Linked DNA regions of Macaca fascicularis. The protein of the gene in region 1 purifies or fractionates together with the protein of each later gene. This does not show direct contact. Links are inferred from orthologs where the notes say so. Each region holds a gene or a part of one and is shown in the gene's direction. Other genes may lie near its edges.

Region 1 (4,223 bases):
GGGAGCGCCTTGGCCTGCGGCGACCTCTCTGCTCGAGACCTCTCCCGGTGTGGGCATGTCTTCTCGCTTGGTGTTGGGTTAACTTGCTTCTGGTCCTCTGTTTGGTGGTGGCGTGGCCTTCTGCGCTGGCCCTGTGGATGGACTGTTCCTTTTTTCCGTGGTGACCTCCTCTCCAGGCTCTGCTTGGTGGGCTTCCCTGGTGTGGCCGCGCCCTGTGTGTGTCTCTCTCTGTGTCCTGCCAGTGGTTTTACCCTATGGTAGGTTACGTCATGCTGTTCTACCACAGGGTAGAACCACGGACAGGATACCGGGGCACCCTCTGCGTCGAAGGACTCCTCGTCTGCCCAGCCACAAACAGCCCAGCAGCCGGGGACTGGCCTCCTTGGGACGTCCCCTTGCTGGTTTAGCTCAAGCCCAAAAGGACTCTGAATTCATGCCTGAGGCTCGCACCCAGGGCACGGGTGTTGATTCAGATGAATGCTTGGAAGTGTGGGAATGGGGATGGTGTTGGGGTCTGGGGTGAAGGGAGGGCAAAGCGCAAGGGTGTGGCGTAGCTGGTGGGTGTGAGGTTTCTAATCTGAAGGCAGCATGGATTACGTTTTCATGGATTGGGGTTGGGAATGTGGTGCTCTGTATTTACATTATGTTGCCCACCAGGTAGAGCGGAAACAGGGTAGTTGCTATTCAAACAGAACCTTTGCAGAAAAATTATTGTCATAAACACGCATCGTGCCCTTGTGTAGTGCACAGCCTATGCAACTGAGCATGGTGACAAGGACCCCCTTTACCATTAGAAGCTCTGGATATTGTGATGTAAAGTCTCGGAACACATCATCTGGGAGCCGACGGGGACACGTTTCCCCAAACATCATCCTCAAATGCAGTTGCCATTCTGTGTAGAACAGAGCCCACCCTGTTCACTGACCAGCTGTTCATATAGGTTAGCGCGGGTGCTTGTCACGGGGCTTGACTCCCTGGGACACGTGTCCCCAGACTACCTGAAACACAACGGTGGAGAGTCACAGCTCCTGTGCAGATGTGCACCAAGGAACCCATTATTCTTGTCTTTTCTTTCTCTTCCCTCACAGAGAGTGGTTTTTCCTCCTGTCTCACGAGGTGCTCAACCCTATGTATTGTTTATTTGAATACGCGGGAAAGAACAATTACTGCCTGCAGATCAACCCTGCCTCCTCCATCAACCCAGACCACCTCACCTACTTCCGCTTTATAGGCAGATTCATCGCCATGGTAAGGGGGCCCCAGGGGTCTGCCTGGTTCCCTCCTCTCCCTCCTCTTCCCTCTCCTGGTGAAGTGTGCCAGGGGCACCAGGGGAATCTGCTCTTTCTCTGAGACCTCCAGGAAGGGGCAGCATTGGAGGAGGCCCTGGGCCTGTTCACCAGGAGGCAGCGTGGCGTGAACAGCAGCCCCCGTGGACTGGCGCGCCCTCTCTGGGCCCCACCCTTCGCCCCCATAGAGCTCGTAACCTAAAAATGTAAAAAGCTGGAGAGAGTTCTGGAGAAACCAGAGCTTTCTCAGTGGCTGTCCCGCAGGTAGTGAAGAGTTTCCACGCTGCTTGTATAGGACTTGTCGAGAGGAAGCCCAGGGTCTCTGGGCCACAGACTTTACTGAACATTAAATATGCGCTCTGTTGAGGGCCTTGGGATGACAGGGCCAGGTGAAAACATAGCTGCCCACCTGCTGCCTGTCTCTGGGAGGTGACACTGTCACGGCATTTGGGAACGTCCCACTGAGACACTAAGCCTTCTGGAAGGACATTTGGAGTCAACACTAGCTTAGAACAAAACCCTAAAGTCTGTGGCCCAGAGACCCTGGGCTTCCTCTCGACAAGTCCTATACAAGCAGCGTGGAAACTCTTCACTACCTACAGGACAGCCGCTGAGAAAGCTCTGGCTTCTCCAGAACTCTCTCCAGCTTTTTGCATTTTTAGGTTACGAGCTCTACGGGGGCGAAGGGTGGGGCCCAGAGAGGGCGCGCCAGTCCACGGGGGCTGCTGTTCACGCCACGCTGCCTCCTGGTGAACCGTAAACTGGCTGGTGCAGGGTGTAGGGACGTATGTCAGAAAGTGGGCCAGTTCTGGGGAGGGGCTTTCCCAGCATCTGTATTTAACTGGAAAGAAGGACACGGTGTGAATAGGGAAAGGGAGGTCCTGCCACGTGCCCCCTGTTGAGGGTCTTGGGAGTGTGGAGAACCCGATTGAGAAGCGGGGACCAGCACGGGAGCCACATTCATAGCTTGAGAAGTTTCAGTTCTCACTTTCCTTCGCTTCTTCCCCTGCCTTCCTGAGCTCCCCTCTTAGGAGGACCCAAGTGTCCCAGGAGCCTGTGACTAAATATGGCCCTTCCCATCGTCGGGGAGCTCTTGGCCAAGGTGCTGGGCTCTGGAAGTGGGCACATTCTTCCCAGGTCTAGAGACCCGCCTGGCCCAGCAGCCAACAGGACAGACCGGTAAAACCCTAGACTATTACTCACCATTGGCCGCCAGCTCTCGCTGTCAGCGGTGTCTGCATTATTTTTGGCTGCCTTTGCCACCCACCCTGAGCGCCAGTGAGTCAGGGCTGCCACCTGGAGCTGCTCTGAGCAAGCCTTTTCTGTGAGCGTGGGACAGACCTTTGCTAGGCTGGGAGCCAGCCGGCCAGTGTGAGGGGCAGATGCGGGCCCGGACGTGGGTTCCCGCGCCAGCTGTCTCTGCCCAGTCCCTGCGGTCTGCAGGGCAGGGTGGGAGTCCCTCTGTAGGTGCAAGTCAGGACAAAGGCGTTGTTTGCTCCCGAGGCCCTCCCGCTGCGTCCGAGGCAGCCGCTGCTGCGGTTCTGTCAGGGAAGGCGGGTGGTGGTAGCGGAGTTTGATACCGAGTATCCGAGAGCCAGTCTTGGCAGTGCCTGGGGAAGGCCCAAGCTCTGTGCTGTGCCTCTTCCTTCCCAGGCGCTGTACCACGGAAAGTTCATCGACACGGGCTTCACCCTCCCTTTCTATAAGCGGATGCTCAACAAGAGACCAACCCTGAAAGACCTGGAGTCCGTCGACCCTGAGTTCTACAACTCCATTGTCTGGATCAAGTGAGCTCCCTCCCCCCTCACCCCACCGCACTGATAGGAGGGACGTCTCTGGGCAGGGAGCAGGTACCGACGGCTTTTATTTTGTCTGCCAGTGTGGCCCCTGAGCTCTTGTCCAGCCTTTAAAAGAGCTAGTGGAGAGGAATGTCCTCTGGGTCCCCCGTGGACAGTTCTAGAATCCCCTCCTTGAGTCAGGAAGCTGTCCCATGTCACTGTTCAGGATTCTAGGCCACCCGTGAACCCTTGGTGTCCCATGGGCAGCAGAGCAGGATCCAGGAAAGACCCTGCCACGATAGACATCTCCCGACTTGGTCTGCTGTGCCCCCAGAGAGAACAACCTGGAAGAATGTGGCCTGGAGCTGTACTTCATCCAGGACATGGAGATCCTGGGCAAGGTGACCACCCACGAACTGAAGGAGGGTGGCGAGAGCATCCGGGTCACGGAGGAGAACAAGGAAGAGTACATCATGTGAGTCTCAGGCGCCGGGGCCTCCGCTCCAGGGGCGGTGCGGAGATCTAGTTGGTTGCAGAGCAAGATGGGCCCCCACCTTGTGGCCCATCGGTCACTGTGGATGCCATCTCCATCTGCCTCGAAGGTGGCTGCTGATGGGCCGTCATGTGATGGCGCGAGCTGGGGGACCAGAGCCGAGGTCCTTAGTTACTGACTCCCGGCTGCACTTTTTCCCCACGTGGGAGACTTCAAGCCTCCAGGGTGGAATTTCTTTGAAGTCGCGTCAAGCTTAGACGTCTGCATCTTTCTCCAGGCCGAGAGGATCTCTGTGGCCTGCGTGCCTAGACCCACCGTCTCACGTGTGCCCGTTCTCCATGCCTGTTCCTCAGGCCTCTTGGTTTAGTCTTTTTATCTCCACGCTTTCATACGTCTGAGGTTCAGTTGGCGTTGTGGGCAGGAGCAGGAGGTGGCGGTGGTGAGGATGACTTCAAAGACTCCGGTGTCTGCAGGTCACTGTGAGGTTTTTAGGGCCGCACTCTAGGGCCTCCAGCAGGCTGGGTCTGGGTGTGCGAAGTGGGCTCTTCTGATCTGGTGGTCCTGCGTGGTAACGGCCACGCGGCCTGGCCAGGAGCTGCCTCTGAGCGATGGGTCTCATCCTCCACCCATGGCTGGTCTTTGGTCTCAGGCTGCTGACCGACTGGC
Region 2 (4,852 bases), on another chromosome or scaffold:
TCTGGCCTGTCACTCAGTGCTGGGTGTACAGGGGAACACCCGCAAGCATCAAACCCGCCGGAACCTTCAGCCTTTCCGAGCACGTGAAAGGGGGCGTGGCCAGCCCTTGCGGTCTGGGCACGTTCCTTGGAGAAGCAGGACTGAAGCAAAGAGAGCATTCTCCGGAGGAGGGAACTTCTCAGGTGGAGGGAGACCACAGTGCGGGCACAGCAAGACGCCGTGGAGGAGCCCTCGCAGGAGGTCAGGCTGCACAGGCCAGACAGGATTCCCAGGACAGCCTTCTAAAGGATTTCTTTTTTTTTAGTTTTAAAATTTTACTTTTTAATTTTTTAAAGCTTTTTTTTTTTTTTTTTTTTTTTTTTGAGACAGAGTCTCACTCTGTCGCCCAGGCTGGAATGCAGTGGCGCAATCTCGGTTCACTAAAACCTCCGCCTCAGCCTCCCGAGTAGCTGGGATTACAGGCGCCCGCCACCACGCCCCAGATTTTTTTTTTTTTTTTTGGTAGAGAGAGATTTCACCATGTTGGCCAGGCTGGTTTCAAACTCCTGACCTAAGGTGATCCGCCCGCCTCAGCTTCCCAAAGTACTGGGATTACAGGCGTGAGCCACCGCGCCTGGACTTTGCCTGTTTTTTTTTGGCCGGTCTCTCTCTCTTGCCCAGGCTGGAGTGCAGTGAGGCGATCATAGTTCACTGCATCCCTCAAGCGATACACCCGCCTAGGTCTCTCCAGTAGCTGGGACTACAGGCGCGCACCACAACGCCAGGCTAATTTTTGTATTTTTTAGAGAGGAGGTCTCACTATGTTGTCCAGGCTGGTCTTGAACTCTGGAGCTCAAGCGATCCTCCAGCCTCGGCCTCCCAAAGTGCTGGGATTTCAGGCGTGAACCACTGTGCCCGGCCCAATTCATTTGTTGTTAAATCAACAGAGTTTACAATATGACCTTCTAAACATTGTTGACTAATGAGCTAAGATATCGTTGACTAATAAGCTACGATTATTTCCTTTATTGTACAACCTTTCGTTTTCTCCAGTGTAGAAAACAGCATCATTTTTCATTTGCATTTCTTTTTTCTTTTTTAATATATATATATATATATATATATATATATTTTTTTTTTTTTTTTTTGAGACGGAGTCTCGCTCTGTCGCCCAGGTTGGAGTGCAGTGGCGCGATCTCAGCTCCCTGCAACCTCCGCCTCCCGGGTTCAAGCGAATCTTCTGCCTCATCCTTCCGAGTAGCTGGGATCACAAGCGCCCACCACCATGCCCGGCTAATTTTTGTATTTTTAGTAGAGATAGGGTTTCACCATTTTGGTCAGACTGGTTTCGAACTCCTGACCTCAGGTGATCCCGTCGCCTTGGCCTCCCAAAGTGCTGGGATTACAGGCGTGAGTCACTGTGCCCGGCCGTCATTTGCTTAATTTTCTATGCATCACCCAAATGTTCCAACAGACGTGTGGTAAAAGCCTCTGAATATCATTGTCCGCGTGCTCAGAAGTATTAGATAATCCATCACAAATGAATAAAATTTTAGAAGTGTAAGTCAGTGAAAGAAATTCGACCCGGCACGTTCGGAGTCGGCTGCCCTGCTCTCCATCAGCAGGCGTTCCTGCAGCTCATCTGACCCTCTCCGCCCAGAAAGGCCTAGGGACCTACCCCAGGACGTCTGCGCGGCGAGGCGCGAGGGAGGAGAGGGAGTGCAGGGCGGCCCTGGGCGGCGGGGAGCCTCCGGGACAACACCAGCAGGTCCCCTCGCTGCGCCCCGCCAGCCTCACACTCCCGGCCCCGCCCACCCCTCGGGGCCCCTCCCAAGACCACGCCCCTTCCGTGGCCGTTGCTCCGCGCTTCCGCTTCCGGCGGCGCTGGTGGTGGCGCGCGACTCAGCGATGGCAGCAGGTGGCGGCGATCCGCGGGCTGGCGACGTAGAGGAGGACGCCTCACAGCTCATCTTTCCTAAAGGTTGGGCTCGGGGCCGCCAGACTGCCCCGCGGCACTTCGCGTGGTCGCCGCAGGCCTGGCGTTATCCGCGCTTCGCCCAAGGCCTGGCCTCGGCGGCGGCTTGGGCAGACCCCCGCGCGGCGTAGGGCTGGGGAGGGAACGTGGACCTGGGAGTGGCCGCCTGGGCAACTGGGTTATTTTATGTGATAACAAACTGCGAAGTTCCGGGCGCTGGTGTCAAAGGTAAACAAAGCCGGAAACCCAGGTGGTGAGGACAGATTTTTAAACAGGGATAGAACGTTGCACTAGGGAGAAGAGTCCAGCGTGAACCGAACTCAACTTCGATTAGTACCGAACCTCTGGGCGTTTTAAAGGAGAGTTAGGGAATAAGGATGTGGTGAGCGGGGGCTCAGGGGAGTCGGGGAAGTGAGAAATGTAAAAAAGAGGGAAGAGGAGGGTCCGTGTGAACCCACCTTGGTTTGTTGACTGCAGCATCTATCGAAGTTAGGCCCCTACCCTCCCACCGAGGCGGAGAGACAGAGGCCTGTTTTCAGCCGTTGGCTGGAACAAACAAATTATTTTGTTTTTTTTTTTTTTTTGAGACGGAGTCTCGCTCTGTCTCCCAGGCTGGAGTGCAGTGGCGCGATCTCGGCTCACTGCAAGCTCCGCCTCCCGGGTTCACGCCATTCTCCTGCCTCAGCCTCCCGAGTAGCTGGGACTACAGGCGCCCACAACCGCGCCCGGCTAATTTTTTGTATTTTTAGTAGAGACGGGGTTTCACCGTGGTCTCGATCTCCTGACCTTGTGATCCGCCCGCCTCGGCCTCCCAAAGTGCTGGGATTACAGGCGTGAGCCACCACGCCCGGCCCAAACAAATTATTTTGGCAGCCTCGAGTTTTCTCAGGCACGCAGTGGTTGGGGAGGGTATTCCTAGGGATAAGGACCTCAAGACCTCAAGTGATCCATCCACCTTGGCCTCACAGAGCTGGCATTACAGGCGTGAGCCACCTCGCCCTGCATTTTTTTTTTTTTTTTTTTGAGGCAAGATCTCATTCTGCTACCCAGGTTGGAGTGCAGTGGTGTGATCACAGCTCACTGCAGCCTCAACCTTCCCAGGCTCAGGTAATCCTCCCACCTCACTTCAGCCCCTGGAGTACCTGGAACTACAAGTGCACACCACCACACCTGGCTAGTTTTTGTATTTTTTTTGTGGAGACAAGATTTCACCATGTGGCCCAGGCTGGTCTTGAATTCCTGGGCTCAAGTGGTCTACCTGCCTTAGCTGCCTAAAGTGTTAGAAAGTACAGGTGTGAGCCACTGCACCGGGCCTATTAATGGTCGTGATGACGGAACCTTACTAAAATTTCCAGATGACATACTGGCCAAGGAATTGTTTTCCTTTTTTAGCAACAGGGATTAATTATGGCCATTGTTCTTAAAATATTTGCACAAGAGAGAATAACATGCAGATCCCCTGATCTGTTTCCTTTTGTTTCCAAATAAATTGTGTGTGTGTGTGTGTGTGTGTGTGTGTGTGTGTATGCTTTCACTTGAAAATGTTTATTGGAATTAGCCATGGGGAGAAGTCTTGGATTCCTCCTCTCCGTAGTTATACAAAAGTGTCTGAACTGCCTCCCCCATCCCCATTTTGTTGATGCCGAATCCTGGGAATGCCTCCCAAAAGCTCTGTGGTAGGTCTCAGACACCCCTTTCCTAGGCCCTCTGAGTTACAGTTTGGCTGCCTTGACCTTCCTTGGTTGAAGGGAGTGAGGGTAATGTATTAGTAGTACTTGAATATTGTTCTTAATGAGAAATAGGGACAGCTGACTAGTTTCCTGGTGGCCTAAAAGTTCCATTCCTTTCCATTTAACAAGTAATTTTGGTTTAGTGCAGAAAGGGAGGCATCTGTTTTGTTTTGTTTTGTTTTTTTGAGACAGAGTGTTTCACCCTTGTTGCCTAGGCTGGAGTGCAGTGGCACAATCTCGGCTCACCGCAACCTCCACCTCCTGGGTTCAAGCGATTCTCCTGCCTCAGCCTGAGTAGCTGGGATTACAGGCATGTGCCACCATGCCCGACTAATTTTTGTATTAGTAGAGATGGGGTTTCACCATGTTAGGCTGGTCTCGAACTCCTGACTTTAGGTGATTCACCTGACTTGGCCTCCCAAAGTGCTGGGATTACAGGCATGAGCCACGGCGCCCAGCCTGGGATGCATCTCTTAACATTGATTTTTCCAGGACCTGTAAAAGCATCAAAGTTCCAACACACCGATTTGTAACTGATTAGCTACTTCTTCCCTTTTTTGTTTTGGCCTGATGTCATTTGTTACTGTCGCTTCAGAGTTTGGAGGTCCTGCAGTCCTGATATATAATGCCTTTTCCTCTACTCATTGCTGTGAGGCAGTAGTTTCTTCTGTACCTACAGTGCCTCAGTGTTAAAGATTAAAAGTAGTAAAGTTCCTGGTATACAAATAGGCACTCACTGTAGTACATCCCCTGTTATAGGCTGGAAGACAGAAAAAGGTGTTCTGAGGTTTTTGTTTAAACTCTCCTGCCCTCAGGTAGAAAATAGCTTTTGGTTACCTATTTTTTTATTTAGATTTTAATTTTATTTCAATAGTGCTCCAGCTGTATTGGTAGCCTATTATATTCAGTAGCAATGAGTACCTTTCAAATAAAAATAGACTTTCCTCCTGACCTACCACTTAAACTGTCTGTGTCGTGAAAGGAGAATGAGGCTCTTGTCAGTTACCCGGCTTGAGAATTGGGAAGGCGTTACTCTGAGGGAGGTGTTAGTGATTTCCCCGATAATAAACAGACCTATAGCACGTGTAAATGTGAAATTGCAAGTCATTCTGGCTTTTCCTCACTGTTGCTTCCTTTTCAGTGAGGGATTATAAACATGAATTCATGT
Region 3 (4,859 bases), on another chromosome or scaffold:
CAATTAGCTGCAGTAATTCCTTCTTGAACTGCTGGTTCTCTCTTTTGAGGCCACAGGAGTATTCAAAAATAGACCGCTCTGCTGCCAACTTCAAGGCCTGGGCTTTCTTATTAAGCTCTCTTCTTTTTCTCTTTCCCAGTAGCCTCCTGTCTGGCTCGCTCAGTTGTTTCTCCAGTAATCTTTTCTCCTGGAGGAGCTGGGCCTGTACTTCACGTGTCTTTGCAGCTGTCTCAGCTTGGACTTTCTTTTTCTCCTCCTGTAATGTCTGTATTTCTTTCTCCTGCTTTTCCTTTAATATAGCAATGTCCCTCATTGCCTGCAACTTCCGCTTCAAACTGGATTGGATATTTTCCTTTTGCAAGAGCGCTGTTTTAAGCACTGAAATTTGTTCTGCATATCTGGAGGCTGATTCTTGTCTTCTTCGTTCGATCTCTCCACTTTGTTGTAAATAGCTGTTCCATACCTTCTCAGGTTGCTTTGTGTACTCTTCAGTTTTGTTAGTCAGGTATTCCAGAAAGAACCTGTTTTCAGCCTGGACAAGTAACTTTTCTTGGTATAGCTCCCTGTATTCCTCCAGTAGCTGTTCCCGCTGGATTTGAGCTTGTTTTATATGCTTGTTCAGAACCGTCATTTCCGCCACTATCTTTTCTTTAAGGATTGTCTCCACCTTTGTTAGCTTCTCTGGCTTGACAAAATTATTTATTAGCCTATGATACGGTGGAAGGAGCCTTCTGGGGCCCTCAGCAAACCTGAAAGAACAAATGAGACATTCCTCTCTCAGTTGATGAAACTTTAGGAAGTGCAGAACTGTCCTTTATTTATACCAGAGAATATTTCTGAGTACCCAGAATGTTCCAGACATTATGCAAGGTGAGGGGAATCCAGCTAGTGGTAAAAGATGACGGATTTAGCTCATCATTTACAACGTGCGTTCACCACAACCCTGGGAGGTACTATCTCAGTTTTAAAAAGAGAAAACAGGTTCAGAGAGTTTAAGTGAATTGCCCATGACTCACACCACTAGCAAGTGGCAGAGCCTGGGTATGAAAGCCAGATCTTATGACTTACTGAACACTGTTAGCAGCTACAAAGGGCCACAGAAACAGACTGGGTGGTTGCGAGTAGAAATACTTTTCTAAGCTCTTTCATCATCTTTCCTGAGTTTCTGAGAGCCCTTCAGTGAGAAGGAAGCTCCCCTCCAGTACCTATTCGCACCTGGAATCCAAGCATTCATCCTGAAGGTCACGGCAACTGCGTAGTTCACCGAGGGTGATTACCAAGGAATGAGCGCTAGCATCAGGAACCTGCGCCTGCAACTCGCGGGAACAACGTGCAAGTGCGGAAAACTCCCGTAGTTTATCCGTTCGGTGCTCAAAGGGTCTCGGTGCTGCCCAGCAACCCTGGAGGCTGCACCCTGCTCCAGTCCTGGCTGGTCCAGCCCTGAACTGTTTAACCGCCTCGGCTACCGAATAAACCCGAGCAGCCGGTCCTCCAGTGGCTCCGCTCCCCGCTCTCTGCGGGCTCGAAATGAGAGGCATGCGCCTTGTTTTCTTGCTGTGTGAGTCCTGCCCTCGGGACCCCATCTCTTCTCGCCTTCCCCCTGGGGACAAAAGCCCTCCCAGGCTGCAGAGATCAGAGCCCTTTCCTAGCTCCCTTCAGCCTTCCTCTCGCTTGCTCAGCGCCCCCACTTCCTCGCCACTGTCACTAGTTGGCTCACCAGCCCTGCCCGATACTAAGAAGATGCCCTGGCAACTACCGCGCCCCTTCACGCTCCTTTCTGACGCTTTGGTTCTGTTTTCGTTCGCTGCCCAGAACATCGCGGAAGTTTCTCTAGCCATGCGGTGTCTCTATGGTCAGGTGGGCGGGGCCAGGAGGAAGATGGCGGCGCCCGCAGCTGCAGCTGAGCCCCAGGCTTCTGGGGGTCCGCGGCACCCAGTGTGTCTGTTGGTGTTGGGAATGGCGGGATCCGGGAAAACCACCTTTGTACAGGTGACGTACACAGCGTGGGTGTAGTAGGGGAGCGCAAAAGGTTGCCTCCGACAGGCGGAAGGCCAGGGAGAAAGGGAGGGAGGTCTCCGAGGATTTGGAGGGTATCGGCGCATGGGTTTCGGTCGTTTCCCATCAACTTTAGTTCCTTCCCCGGCAAAGCCTCCTCGGGCCCTAGCCAGGTTAATTAAGGCTGTCTTCTGTGCACCTTCAGTGCATACTCGGTCAGCTTACCACGTTGTACAGGAATTGTCTTGCTGATAAAATTGCCAGTTTCTTGAAGGCAGGGGCTTACAAGTAACTTTAGAGATTAATACAGTGCTAGCACACAGGTTTTGGTGAAGATTTGCCGAAGAATTATTTCTTGCACGCCTGTTATGTACCATTCACTGGGGATATAGCGAAAATTAGGTTGACAAGATTCATTCATGGGGCTAAATATTTAATGGAGGAGATAGAGAAAACCCACATACGAAGAATCAAAACAAGTAAACAAGTGACTATGAGTAGGGGAAGTTTTGTTAGATGGGTGATGAAGAAAGGTAGCATTTGAACTGAGAGTTGTATCTTGGTGTTGGATATAGTGGGTGGATATTTCAGGTAAAAGAAAATCTAAGTGCAAAACTCTTAAGGCATGGGTGGTAAAGGAAGTTCTCTCTTGTCCCCTCTTTGTCTCCTTCCAACCTTCTCCCCATATCTCTGCAGAGGCTCACAGGACACCTGCATGCCCAAGGCACTCCACCTTATGTGATCAACCTGGATCCAGCAGTACATGAAGTTCCCTTTCCTGCCAATATTGGTGAGTAAACCGGTAACATAACTTGTGTGAAGTGCTTTAAAGAGAATGGAAAAGGCCGGGCGCAGTGGCTCACCCCTGTAATCCCAGCACTTTGGGAGGTCGAGGCAGGTAGATGAAGAGGTCAGGAGTTCAAGACCAGCCTGGGCAAGATGGTGAAACCCCATCTCTACTAAAAATACAAAAAATTAGCCAGGCGCGGTGGCAGATGCCTGTAATTCCCGCTACTCGGGAGGCTGAGGCAGGAGAATTGCTTGAATCCGGGTGGCAGAGGTTGTAGTGAGCTAAGATAGCACCACTGCACTCCAGCCTAGGCAATAGAGTCAGACTCTCCAGCCTGCCAGTCTTCAGTGCCTTCTTTTTTGATGTTTTCTAAACTATCTACTTTCATTTCCTTTGGATTTGCTTGAGTTCCTAAACAGCTTAGGCTTTTTTTGTTGTTGTTGTTGTTGTTTTTATAGAGTCTCTGTCACCCAGGCCAGAGTGCAGTGGCGTGATTCAGCTCACTGCAGCCTCAACATCCCAGGCTCAAGTGATCCTCCCACCTCAGCCTCCTGCCACCATGCTGGGCTAGTTTTGTTTTGTTTGGAGAGACAAGGCCTCTCTATGTTGCCCAGGCTGGTCTTGAACTCCTGGGCTCAAGTGATCCTCCTGCCTTGGCCTCCCAAAATGCTGGGATTACAGGTGTGAGCCACTGTGCCCAGCCTAATTCCTTTTTAAAAATCATGTCTGCATTGCCTTTGCATTGCGTTTGTTAGTAATAGGCAATTAGTAAGAAGCTTTTTTTTCCCCTTGATTTTTGCCTCCCTTTTTCTAGACGTGTTTAACTTGTGTGAAACTTCTCACTTTGTGGAGACAAAACTCTCTACCATAACTTTAGAGCTCCTAGCCCTAACATTCTTCATGAATTACTTGACATTTATTCTTTGTAAGGAAGGAAACCAGTGTGAAAGTGGAGGTGGTAGAAGAGAATGCTGACAAGAGAAGGCTAGAAGGCCAGTTTCACTTTCCTGCTGGTAGGGAATGTGCATGTATTACATTCCAGTTAATTCTTTTCTTTCTCCTCAGATATTCGTGACACTGTAAAGTATAAAGAAGTCATGAAACAGTATCCTTTTCCATCTACTTTGGTCTTGACTCATTCCTGGCTTCGTTTCTGTGTATTTTGTGGCTTGAAAGAGTGTTTTTGCCTTTTCCCTGTGAAATATACAAGCAAAAGGATGGAAGCTGATTGTGGCAGAGGTAGGTGATCAGAAATATTATTTCAGCTTGAGGTTTTAGTTTTTTTACTGTCTCCCCAGATGGCAGGCTGTTGTAATTAAAGAGCAGAGAGTAGGATAGGATAACTGACAGCTACCTGGGTCCCACAAGGTAGTATTTTGCCTTGGAGGATCATCTGTTGGTCACCACCTCTTTAGACTGGGAAACTCAGAAATGAGTGGGTTTAGTTGGATTAACTCTTAGTAAATTGCTTTGTGAAATGTGTACTCTGCTTAATTTGTTTATGAGGATCAGAGCCGGAGGTGTTATACAGGTGGCCTTCATGGCCAGTGCTAGGGAGCTGTCACTGCCTGATGCACCTGTATTACATTTTGGTCACTTTGCTTTCTTCATTTTGCCTGGCCATTCCTAAAGTCATAAATGAGTGAGCCAGACCTTGATACTGAATGTTTCCCTGTGTGGTTAAGGTTGTGTGGTAGTCACGGATTAGGTTGCCAATATTCATTAATGGAACACTAATTTCATAATGCTGTTTTGTGTGAATGATAGCCTGGGTGTGAACTTTATAATCTAATCTATAAGCGATTTCAGTCCTCAACTTGGTGTCTAGATATGGACTTGGACCCAATGGCGGCATAGTGACCTCACTCAATCTCTTTGCTACCAGATTTGATCAGGTATGTCTGTCTTTAATATATCAATATGGCTGTGTAAAAATCTGTGACTCTTAAATTCCTTAGCTTGATCACATTGATAAAGAAAAGCGGCAAACCTGCACATAAATACAGAAAATAAGTAGACATTTTGTCAGACAGAGAAGTAGACTATGAGAAGGTGATCAGTATTGTCAGACACT
Region 4 (4,959 bases), on another chromosome or scaffold:
CTTCTTTTATGCCACAACAGTCTCAGGGTGCTGTGCTCAGTTTGGTAGCATAGTGGTGTTAGAGCAACAAAATATATTTCCTAGTGTCTTTCCACTAGAAAAGACACCAACACCAGGCCTCCCATCTCCCAGGAAAGAGCAAAAGCCAGAGTTTTACATTGAGAGCCTGAAGGCATTTTCTTATCTTTAATCCTAATCCTGTTTGGGTCCAATTTCAAAGAGATTAAGAGCATGCACTTTAGGCCTGACAGACTAGGGACCTGATCATATCTTCCTAGTTGTATGACCCTCAGTGAGACAGGTAATTTCTTCATGCCTCACTTTCCTCATCTAGGAATGGGGGAGTGCTTTCCACACTTTCTGGAACACAGTCAGGCACTGCCTAATGTTTTCTTTGGAAACCTAGCGCGTCTGTACAGCTATTTCCTTTAAAATGTGAGAAAGTTGATTTCCCTTCAACCTTTTCTTTCCATCACTTTTGCATTGCACTCGGCGTTTTCTCTAATTCTTTATAGTTCTAGAGATTGGCAGATGCTCGAAGAAAATCAGAGTCACTACGGATTTATTTATTTTATTTCATTTTATTTTTTTGAGACGTAGTCTGGCCCTGTAGCCCAGGATGGAGTGCAGTGGCGCGATCTCGGCTCACTGCAACCTCCGCCTCCCGGGTTCAAGCAATTCTCCTGCCTCAGCCTCCCAAGTAGCTGGGACTACAGGCGCACGCCGCCACGCCCGGCTAACTTTTTGAATTTTAGTAGAGACGGGGTTTCACCGTGTTGCTCAAGCTGGTGTCGAACTTCTGAGCTCAGCCAATCCGCCCGCCTCGGCTTCCCAAAGTGCTGGGATTACAGGTGTGAGCCACCGTGCTTTTTGGTTTCCAGTTCTCTTCCCCAAGAGGCCAGGAATTTTTGCATGAGTTGCCAGACACTGAAGTGATTTGGGACAGCACATTCTGTGACAACGACTTCAAGGCTCTTTTTCAACAAAGGACTGGAATCTTAGCAAGATAACATATCCCAAGACATGTTAGCAATGCAAAGGACCACAGAAATCTAGACAAATTCTTTATTTTTACAGCTACAGAAACCTAGGATCTCAGGGGCTGGGATACTCCTCAGTTATCCAATCGGGCAGGGCCTAAAACTCAGGTTCAGTCTCCTGGCTCCAAGCTTTTTCCATCATACCAGCTGCGTCTCATTAACTCCACCTCCGAAAGTGCTAAGGAAGTTCCCTCCCAGTGCCTACCCAAGCAGGGTGGGGCGATTCTGTGGCATGGAACAAACCGGGAAAACGACATTTTCCAACTCTCAGCACAGAGGCTGCTTTTTATCATTCCTAGGGGGCAGGAGGGGGCAGGGAGAGAAGGCTAAGACACCGGGTCCAGTACCCAGAGGTTCTAGGGAGAGATCTTTGAGATTGCCTACTCGGTGAGGCCACCTTACTTTCTCCTGGTCTGTTTTCCCCTGTGAGGTGGCTGCATGAGGCGTCCTGCTTGGAGGGTTCCCCAATATAAGGTGGACTGTCCTTGATCTAGGTCGGGGTGGGCAAGATCCTGCCGCCACCCCGTCTCTGCGGTCCTCGGAAGTCTAGGTGGGATCTTCCTTTCCTTGCCTCTTTCTTCCCAACGGCGGGAGCGGCACAGGGTTGGGGTGGTTGCGGTCGCCTCGCTCTCTCCACTTCAACGTCTCTTACTCCAGGGAGTTTCATCCGGTCCTCCGTCCTCGGCCCCCACCTTTTAAAACATTTTCCAAAACTACACCATTAAAAGTGCGCGACTTCTCCGGGCCTGCAGAAGGAGCTCCTGCAGCCCGGCATTCCTCGGATTCCAGCGCTGTGACGTCCCCAAGGACGGCGCGCCTCCAGCTTGGGAGCTCTGGAGCTGGGGCTCCACGTTTCAGCGCGCGCCCGCGGCGCCCCCGGCGCGCGCCCTCCCGGGCCGCATTCCTCCCCGCCCCCGGCCGCGCGCCCCGCGCTCCCTCCGCCTCCAGGCCCCCAGCGCTGCCGAGCCCGGCTCTGGGGTGGGGGAGCCGTGGCCGCCGGCGCTTGCTCCGTCCCCTCCCACTCGCACGGCCCCTTCCTCCCTCCTCTGCCGGCCGCTCGCATTTCCTGCCGCTCTGGCTCTCCCGGCCCCTCAAAGTTCTTCCCAACTTTTTCTCCGTGGAGTGAGCGCAGGGGACGCAGACTCGGGGGCAGGTTGCTGTGCTCCTCCGGGCTCGGCCGCCTGCTCTGCTGGCTCAGGTCCTTGGGGAGCCCTAGACAGACACAAGTGGCCACTGGCGCTCCTTCCCCTCCCAGCTGAGCCATCCTCCCCGGCCTCCTGGAACGGGACAGCCAGTGCTTAGGTTTTTCTCCTTTTCTTCCCCGGTGCGCCTCTGCTCCGACTCTCGCGCCAGGATCGCGGCGGAAACCTCCCTCCCCTTTCGCCTCCTGCGGCTCCTTCCCTTCGCCCCTCCTCCGCCAGCCACTGGAATCAATTCCGTGGGGAATCGGGGCTTCGCCGCCGCGAAGGACAGCCTTTCCGCGCGGGACTCCGGGGCGCCACGGGGGCCATGTAAGCAGGTAAGCCCCGTCCAAGCCGGGGAGTCGGGCCCGAGGTTGGAGGCCGCCTCGGCGCTCCGGGCGCCCTGCAGATGACTTGGGCAGACGCTGGCAACGCCAACTTGCGATTGGCGGCCCGGGACGCCTGGCAGGGCAGCGGGGGCGCTGGGTGGCCGGGCCGCAGGGGTGTTATATCGCGGTGGGAGCTGCCCGTGGTGAGGCGCAAAGCTTGTCCCGGAGCGAGCTGGAAGGTGAGCGCCGTCTGGGGAGTTTGTGGTTAAACCCACACCCTCGTCTTCTCTCTCCCTTCCCTTCTGCGTTTTGGGAATGAGAGAGGGCCTCGGAGGGGCACCTGGAGATACCTAAACCTTGGGGGCTAGAGGATGAAAGACGAACGACGTCGCGGTCGCTGCAGCGGTAGGGGGACGCAGCTGCCCGACGCCCCGAGTTACCCCCCACCACCACCGGGAAGGGATCTTGAGGCGAGCGGAGTTTTCCTGCCCTCTCACTAGGCCTCAGTGGTGCCACCGAACTCCTGGGCGTCGAGGCTCCTACTTGGGTGGTCGGGCTGGCTCGTAGAAAAAAGCTGTGGTCACACAATTTCAGATCAGGTCTCCACCTCAAACTTTTCAAGTTCTAGGTATTAACAGCCTCTCCTTCCCCACGTGACCCCCAGATCTCGGGTTTGAATACTTGTAAATGGGTTTTACACCTTTTCGTTTGGAGAGAGCAGTGAGGTAACGCTGCCCCTACCTCCCTTTTCCTCTCACTTCCTTCAGTTCCTGTCCTCCAGCCCCCTCATCCCCACCTACAATTTCAGAGATTGTAGGGTTTCCGCTTAAGTCTGGGGACTGGCTGTCGCAGGTTCTTTGTGAAGGTGAGAAATCTCTAGATTGCAGGCGCGGGCAGTTACAGAGTTTCCACCAATGTGTTAACTTCTTGAAATGGATTAGTTTACTCATTCATCCAACAAACCCAGCTTCCACTCTGCTAGGAACAGGGGATAGAAAGATGCTAAACGAGATCACAGGGCAGGAGTCTGCAGCCTAGTGGAGGAAACCTGAAGGCAGATGAAGAATGATAATGCGTGGAAGATGGGTTCTGTGAGAGTCTGAGGCGAGCTTGGTCCTGGTGAGGCGTGCACTGCGCTTAGAGAATGGAGATTGTGCTCATCTGGAGGGTGTATTCCAGGCAGAGGAAACAGCTGGTGCAGAGTGAACACAAGAAGGACCGAAAGTTTCCCTAGCCATCTGGGGGCCCAAGGGGCATTTATGGCCATGTTGGTGCAGTGTTGCTGGGATAGCATTCTCTCCACCCCCAATATAAGAAATTAATCTAGGAGTGCGTTAGCCACTGATGGGAACCACAAGTAGCTTCCAGTGGAGCCAAGGCCTCCCTCTTTGGATACACTTCCATGCCTGCTGCTGTTTTACCACAAGCAGCTGTTGTATGATCATCTAAATTTTAATTGGCCCATGCTCGGTTTCGTTAACATGGTATTGATTATTCTTCTTTTTTATCCCCCACATTCAAACAATGATTCCTTTTTTAAAAGGCTGCTTGACAGCCATAGGTGTGGTAATACAAGGCTTTACGGACCTTGTATTATAAAGTTACCTAATTGTTTGGTGATGGGGTTAAAGCTTGTGCCATAGAAATGACAGCCTTAATGAGCGGGAGCTGAATGGCATGATGCCCTTTTTGCCCAGTCTGAATGGGTGGCCATGTGGTGCAAAATTAGTTCATCTGTATGTCACGAAGTTTGTTATACTTTTCTCTACTTTGAAGTCATTACTATTGCTTTAGCACGCACAGTTGTAAGGACTGTCGTTCTTCTCTCTGAAACTTTATGAAAATAGAAAACACTATCTTCTTGCAGATTTTTGTAGCCTAATGGCCCAGGATTCAGCAAATCCTGGCTAGAAAAGTTTCTTACAATGCAGTAGCGTTCTGTACGTGGTTTGCCTTTCAAGGGTGCCTCTTCACTGGACTGAAGTGGTGCTGTAGTATTGTTCCTAGTGGCTGAGTCCTGGCCGAGGTGGCAGACATCCAGCTTTTGGTGACCTCAGGCCAGTACATCAGAGTAGGAAGAACACAGTGACTTCCTACACCTTTGGGTGTTTATCCAAGCCCCTCGACCAGCATCTTTTCTTATCTCAAGAACAGCCCCTTCACAGAAGGTTTCCTGAAGGTGTGGGGACCTGCATGAGAGACATGGTTGAAGAGAAGCCCTTTCCCGCGAATCCCAGGCATTTGCCCAGTTTCCATCATTGGCTTCAACATGTAATTATTATTAACACTTGAGTTATTCAGGTTTGTGCATACTGTGTCACGCTGGTAGCTGTACTAGAAAGAACAGTTAGACTTTTAATAGGGAAGCACCATAAGGAATTCAGAGAAAAATCAGAATTTTTAGAATAA
Region 5 (4,796 bases), on another chromosome or scaffold:
ATTTTTACGGTTATGTTCTCAGTGCTGCGTTGGGTGTAAGAAATGGCCGTCTATTTGAGAAACAAATGAACACATGAATGATTAACGAAAACACATATACATATAAAATTAAGTTCTAAATAAATCTTATAGATCGTAAGTGATATAAGGATCTAATTTCAGTCTGCTGACACTGGCTGTTGTTTTGGTCATCGAGAAGCAATACCATTTGGAGTGAAATTGTGAGAGTGAGCGTTTATACCAGTTATACCAATAAAATGGCATATGTTTATTGGCTTAGAAACTAAAATACATTAAGATCAAAACAAGGCAAGTTTAACAATATTTAAGTATGAGATATCATTGCCTCTTATTGTTAGCACAGTAACGCTTTCTACTATTAGACATGTCAAAATGGCACAAATAGGAAGAGTTGATGAATGCTTTAAAAAGAACCACGAGGAAGGCTTACCTTTTCAGTTGTCAATCTCGCAAAGAGTTTTTGGGTTTTTTTGTATCTTGCTATTTTAACCAGTTGATTAGGCTCACCCAGTGGCAGTCTTCATTTCAAGGATGTCCTCTGGACATTCATGAAGGAAATAAAGTAAATGGGGCTCCAGATCCCTTTCCTTCCCTTCAGGGGGCTCCACTGTAAGATCATTTTGGGAAAATGTGGTGTTATCTTAAAAACATAGCTGGGCCACATCAAGCAGCACCATAGTTTTGAGGGTATAGAACGTTGGTCTTCAGGTTAAAAGGCACTTTTCACTGCTCTGTCATACTCTTCTACTTGCTAGAGAAATATGTTTTATGCCGTGTCATGTGTGGTTACAGACACTGAGATGCTATTAACAATGCTCCCAAGTGATTCCTTGCTGTTAAATCCATTGGAATTATTATTACCACAAAATAATCCTATCTGATTTCATTACTTTCTTCTAACGTCCTTCCAGTAACCTAGAACTCTAGAGACCTCTTCCTTTGAGAGCTGTCTGGAGAGTCTGTTGGATTTTTAAATCTCTTATTACCAAAAAGTGGAAAAAAATTTAAAAAGTAACCAAAGAGCTGGTGCCTGTAGTCTCAGCTACTCCAGAGGCTGAGGCAGGTGGATAGCTTGGGCTGAGGAGTTCGAGGCTGCAGTGAGCCATGATTGTGCCTGAGAACAGCCACTGCACTCGTCTGGGCAATATAGTGAGACCCCGTCTCTAATCATCCCACAGAAGAATTTCAGGGCAGTGGATAACTCTGTAGGATACTACAATGATGAATACCTGCCATTACACATTTGTCGTAACTCGAGGAGTATACAACAACCTGAGCGAACCCCAAGGTAACTATAGACTTTCAGTGATGATGATGTGTCAATTCGGGTTCATCAATTGTAACACATGTACCACTCTAGTGGGGGATGTTGATAATGGCGGGGTTGGGGGTGGGGTTATGCATGCGTAGGAGCAAAGTGTATACGGGATATCTCTGTAACTTCTCAATTTTGCTGTAAACTACAACTACTCTATATTAGTCTTTTAAAAATCCCTTATCTTACGAATGATTTTTGAATAAGCGTTTTAGCAATGTTCTAGAGATGAATCTCCTCCCCACGTCCTACGCTGGGTGAGTAATACGAGGAAGTGTCGGGTACCCGGGAGACCTGTCCTCAGGTGTTCCAGGAACGCGGCCCCATACCTTTGTCAGCCTCTGTCTCTGTGTGGTGAGAAGGCGCACTGGCTCGTGCCTGCGCGAGACTCGCGCACATAGAAAAGACCAATCAAGGACGGGTCATTCCCGCCCCCCGCGCGCCTTCTGCGACCGCCCACTCGACAGGTTGACAACCTAGACAGCTCCCCCGGACTTGCCTTACTTTTCCATCTCCTCCCACCTAGCTACACCCTCCCACTGGCGGCGCGGATGGGACGCCGGCGGAGCCAGCGAGTCTGCGCGAGCGGCCCGAGCATGCTCAATAGTGCGCGCGGCGCCCCGGTGCTCCTCCGCGGAACCGCGACCAACGCGGAGGTCTCGGCGGCCGCTGCGGGAGGCACAGGAAGTGAAGAGCTTCCGCCGGGAGACCGCGGCGGCAGGAACGGAGGCGGAAGGGGCCCTGCGGCGACGACGTCGTCGACGGGGGTGGCCGAGGGAGCTGAGCACGGAGAGAACTCCCCCGCTCGGAAGCCGGATCCCGAGCCGGGCAGGATGGATCACCACCAGCCGGGGACGGGGCGCTACCAGGTGGTGAGTTCCCGGCCTCCTGTGCTTCCCGGGACTGCCTCCCGCCGGGGCGTCCCGAGAGTCCCTTTCCTCAGGTTATTCCCAGAGGAAACGCTGTGGCTTTTGTTTTGTTTTCTTTTGGATCTTCTGACTGGAGCTGCTTCACTCGCCTCTCCTGCGCACTCCTGCCTAGGACTGCTTCGAAACCCTTCCCTGTCGCCCCAAGTCTCCTCCTAGCTCCTCACCCGTACCCTTAGCCCCCTTTGAGACACCTCCCTCCGCACACCTTACAACTTGTATCTGTTTTAATTTCTCACTTTATCATTTTCTTATTCTCTGACTCAGTCACTTCTGAGACATTCTAGTCGATTGTCTACTGGAAGTGGGGCTGACTTCACATACCTGCCCGGAAGGTGATCGCCGTCATAAATGGGGTGGGTGGGTGGGTAGGTGGGTGAAGGTGTAAGTACTGTGTAGAGTGGGATTTGGCAAAAATGTGGGTTAGGAATTGTGGAACCGAAGAGAAAGACTAGCCATAGTGCTGATCTTGTCTGCTCGTTAACCTTGTCATTTTTGTCCTTTTCCATTATGTTAGTATTAAAAATGACTGTATTTTTTGTAATCCCCAGTTTTTTGTTTTTTTTTTTTGTTTGTTTGGCTAGAGGGGAAACAGAGGTAGTTTTAGTAGAACAAATTCTAATCTTGTTCGAAAAATTATTTTTCGTTAAATACAAGGTTTTCCAGCTTAACTGTGTAAACTTTGGTAACTGTATGTTGAAAAAAGTGAAATATGTTCCTCTGTATTTTCAGTGTCAATTTTTAAATATATTTTTCTTTGTGTATTCTGGTGGTGACGTTGAAGATTCCTGTTGTAAACCTTAGTTAAAAATGGACTGAGCAATAGTTGACTGTGCTGTTGTGCTGTTGCAGCTAGGTAGCATGTCATTCTACAAACTTTCAGCCCATTTACTGAGGGAGACGAGATAAATAATACATAGCAGTGGTGGTGCAATTTATGGTTTATAAAATTTTACAAATTTAGGTATGTTAACCCCAGGTTTCAACTTTCAAATCTATCTGCACATGTCAGACTTAGTTATAAGCCAAGACTTTCTATTAATAAGTACATTTTGGCAATATGAAGGACACTGTAAGATGAGATCCCAATGTATGTAATTTTGCATTTTTCTAAGATAAAAGCTCACGAGGCTTCTATTTTCAACTGGTTTGCATTCTTTAAAACCTACAAAAGGTCCGTGTTCCGAATTCTTTGAAAATGTAGCAGCTTTTCTCAACAACTTGGGAAATACTGTTTCTCCTAGTATGGAAAGCATTTTTCAAGTGTACACCCTTTTGATGGTTTGAAGGGCATTTCTAGGTTTGTAAATGTTAGCAAAAATAAAATGATACAAATACTGAATAATATCAGCAGTGGAACTTGTTTCATTTTTCTAATCTTCCTGTTAGATTAGAAACATTAACCATGTTCTCCTACACACGTCACTACTTAAAACACTGTTAATTTATGTAGCTCTCAGTTTTAAGATATTTGTTTTCCCTACAGCTCCTTTCAAAATAAATGGACATATTTTATTGCTGCCCCCTCCCCTCATTTTTTTCAAACTGATGATGTGTCCCACATAGACTTTGAAGTTCCTTGAGAGCAGAGGGCAAAAATCAGTTCTTCTAAAGATAATGCCTACCAGTCCCTCTAAAGATAATACTTTAAGTAAGTAGGACATCGATTTGTTTTCCTTGTAAGGCAACAGTGTTAGGGTTACACAACTTACATAGTCATTTAACCTATCCAGTATAACTCTTGGTTTTGTTTATAATGGCCTGATTAATAACATCTAAGTGTATGTCAGAGAAAAAGCTGAATTGACATTTTCCGTAGACTTTTTAAACTAGAGATCAGTATTCAGCTCTGGCTTATATGATGAACATAACTATTTTGTGGTTGCCTTTAGCTCAGTTTTTGGGAAAACTGGAATGTGTAATAAACTGGAGCAATAAACAGCTTGAGTTGTCGAATGTTAAGGGATGACTAAGTCAGGAGATAGGCAAGTATACTTAGGGGTGAGATGGTATACAATGTTAATTTTTCACTTATTTAAAGAATTTAAATACAACTTTTCATACTGGAAAGCTAGTAGTGATGCTCAGGGTCATCAGAACGACCTACTACCATTAGCCAGTGCACAAGCTTTATCTAGAAACTGCTTTTTCTGTGATCTTTCCTTTCATTGTTAAAAGCACCCAAAATTTATTAAGTAAAGCAGTTAACAGTTTAGAGCTACAAAAATTCTTGATTGTTACCCTTCTAATTTCAGAAAAAGCCAGGTATGGTACATAATTTTCTGGGAAATTCAGTTTTGTTCGTTAGTAAATGAGCAGTGTTGCTAACTATGATAAAGTTGACTTGGCTTGCAGCTGCTAGACCACATTCTAACTTTGATGTTCTTATTTTATTATTTATTTATTTTTTGAGATGGAGTCTCTGTCACTCAGGCTGGAGTGCAGTGGCGTGATCTCGGCTTGCTGCAACGTCTGCCTCCCAGGTTCAAGTGATTCTCCTACCTCAGCCTCCTGAGTCGCTGGGACTGCAAGTG

Evidence for each region. The genes of interacting proteins can lie anywhere in the genome.
Region 2: the proteins of WWP2 (region 1) and POLR2D purify together in Homo sapiens (affinity purification with mass spectrometry; 3 studies listed by BioGRID and IntAct, with this or other methods). This does not show direct contact. The link is inferred for Macaca fascicularis from reciprocal best matches to the Homo sapiens genes WWP2 and POLR2D.
Region 3: the proteins of WWP2 (region 1) and GPN1 purify together in Homo sapiens (affinity purification with mass spectrometry; 3 studies listed by BioGRID and IntAct, with this or other methods). This does not show direct contact. The link is inferred for Macaca fascicularis from reciprocal best matches to the Homo sapiens genes WWP2 and GPN1.
Region 4: the proteins of WWP2 (region 1) and PTPN14 purify together in Homo sapiens (affinity purification with mass spectrometry; 3 studies listed by BioGRID). This does not show direct contact. The link is inferred for Macaca fascicularis from reciprocal best matches to the Homo sapiens genes WWP2 and PTPN14.
Region 5: the proteins of WWP2 (region 1) and NDFIP2 purify together in Homo sapiens (affinity purification with western blotting; 3 studies listed by BioGRID and IntAct, with this or other methods). This does not show direct contact. The link is inferred for Macaca fascicularis from reciprocal best matches to the Homo sapiens genes WWP2 and NDFIP2.

The regions. Positions count from the first base shown.
Region 1 is NC_088394.1:66,047,010-66,051,232, forward strand, and holds part of WWP2 (NEDD4-like E3 ubiquitin-protein ligase WWP2), read left to right. Parts: intron 1-1,088; coding exon 1,089-1,248; intron 1,249-2,939; coding exon 2,940-3,073; intron 3,074-3,398; coding exon 3,399-3,539; intron 3,540-4,206; coding exon 4,207-4,223. UniProt on the Homo sapiens protein: E3 ubiquitin-protein ligase which accepts ubiquitin from an E2 ubiquitin-conjugating enzyme in the form of a thioester and then directly transfers the ubiquitin to targeted substrates.
Region 2 is NC_088386.1:3,674,492-3,679,343, forward strand, and holds the start of POLR2D (DNA-directed RNA polymerase II subunit RPB4), read left to right. Parts: upstream 1-1,862; 5' UTR 1,863-1,887; coding exon 1,888-1,960; exon of another isoform or gene 1,961-2,182; intron 2,183-4,852. UniProt on the Homo sapiens protein: Core component of RNA polymerase II (Pol II), a DNA-dependent RNA polymerase which synthesizes mRNA precursors and many functional non-coding RNAs using the four ribonucleoside triphosphates as substrates.
Region 3 is NC_088387.1:94,603,158-94,608,016, reverse strand, and holds the start of GPN1 (GPN-loop GTPase 1), read left to right. Parts: upstream 1-1,869; 5' UTR 1,870-1,878; coding exon 1,879-1,989; intron 1,990-2,691; coding exon 2,692-2,785; intron 2,786-3,850; coding exon 3,851-3,890; intron 3,891-3,987; exon of another isoform or gene 3,988-4,002; coding exon of another isoform or gene 4,003-4,024; intron 4,025-4,594; coding exon of another isoform or gene 4,595-4,613; coding exon 4,614-4,680; intron 4,681-4,859. Other genes in the region: CCDC121 (coiled-coil domain-containing protein 121), read right to left, coding at 1-749, 1,216-1,583. UniProt on the Homo sapiens protein: Small GTPase required for proper nuclear import of RNA polymerase II (RNAPII). May act at an RNAP assembly step prior to nuclear import.
Region 4 is NC_088375.1:72,331,438-72,336,396, reverse strand, and holds the start of PTPN14 (tyrosine-protein phosphatase non-receptor type 14), read left to right. Parts: upstream 1-1,969; 5' UTR 1,970-2,559; intron 2,560-2,662; exon of another isoform or gene 2,663-2,789; intron 2,790-4,959. UniProt on the Homo sapiens protein: Protein tyrosine phosphatase which may play a role in the regulation of lymphangiogenesis, cell-cell adhesion, cell-matrix adhesion, cell migration, cell growth and also regulates TGF-beta gene expression, thereby modulating epithelial-mesenchymal transition.
Region 5 is NC_088391.1:70,542,141-70,546,936, forward strand, and holds the start of NDFIP2 (NEDD4 family-interacting protein 2), read left to right. Parts: upstream 1-1,806; 5' UTR 1,807-1,887; coding exon 1,888-2,208; intron 2,209-4,796. UniProt on the Homo sapiens protein: Activates HECT domain-containing E3 ubiquitin-protein ligases, including ITCH, NEDD4, NEDD4L, SMURF2, WWP1 and WWP2, and consequently modulates the stability of their targets. As a result, may control many cellular processes.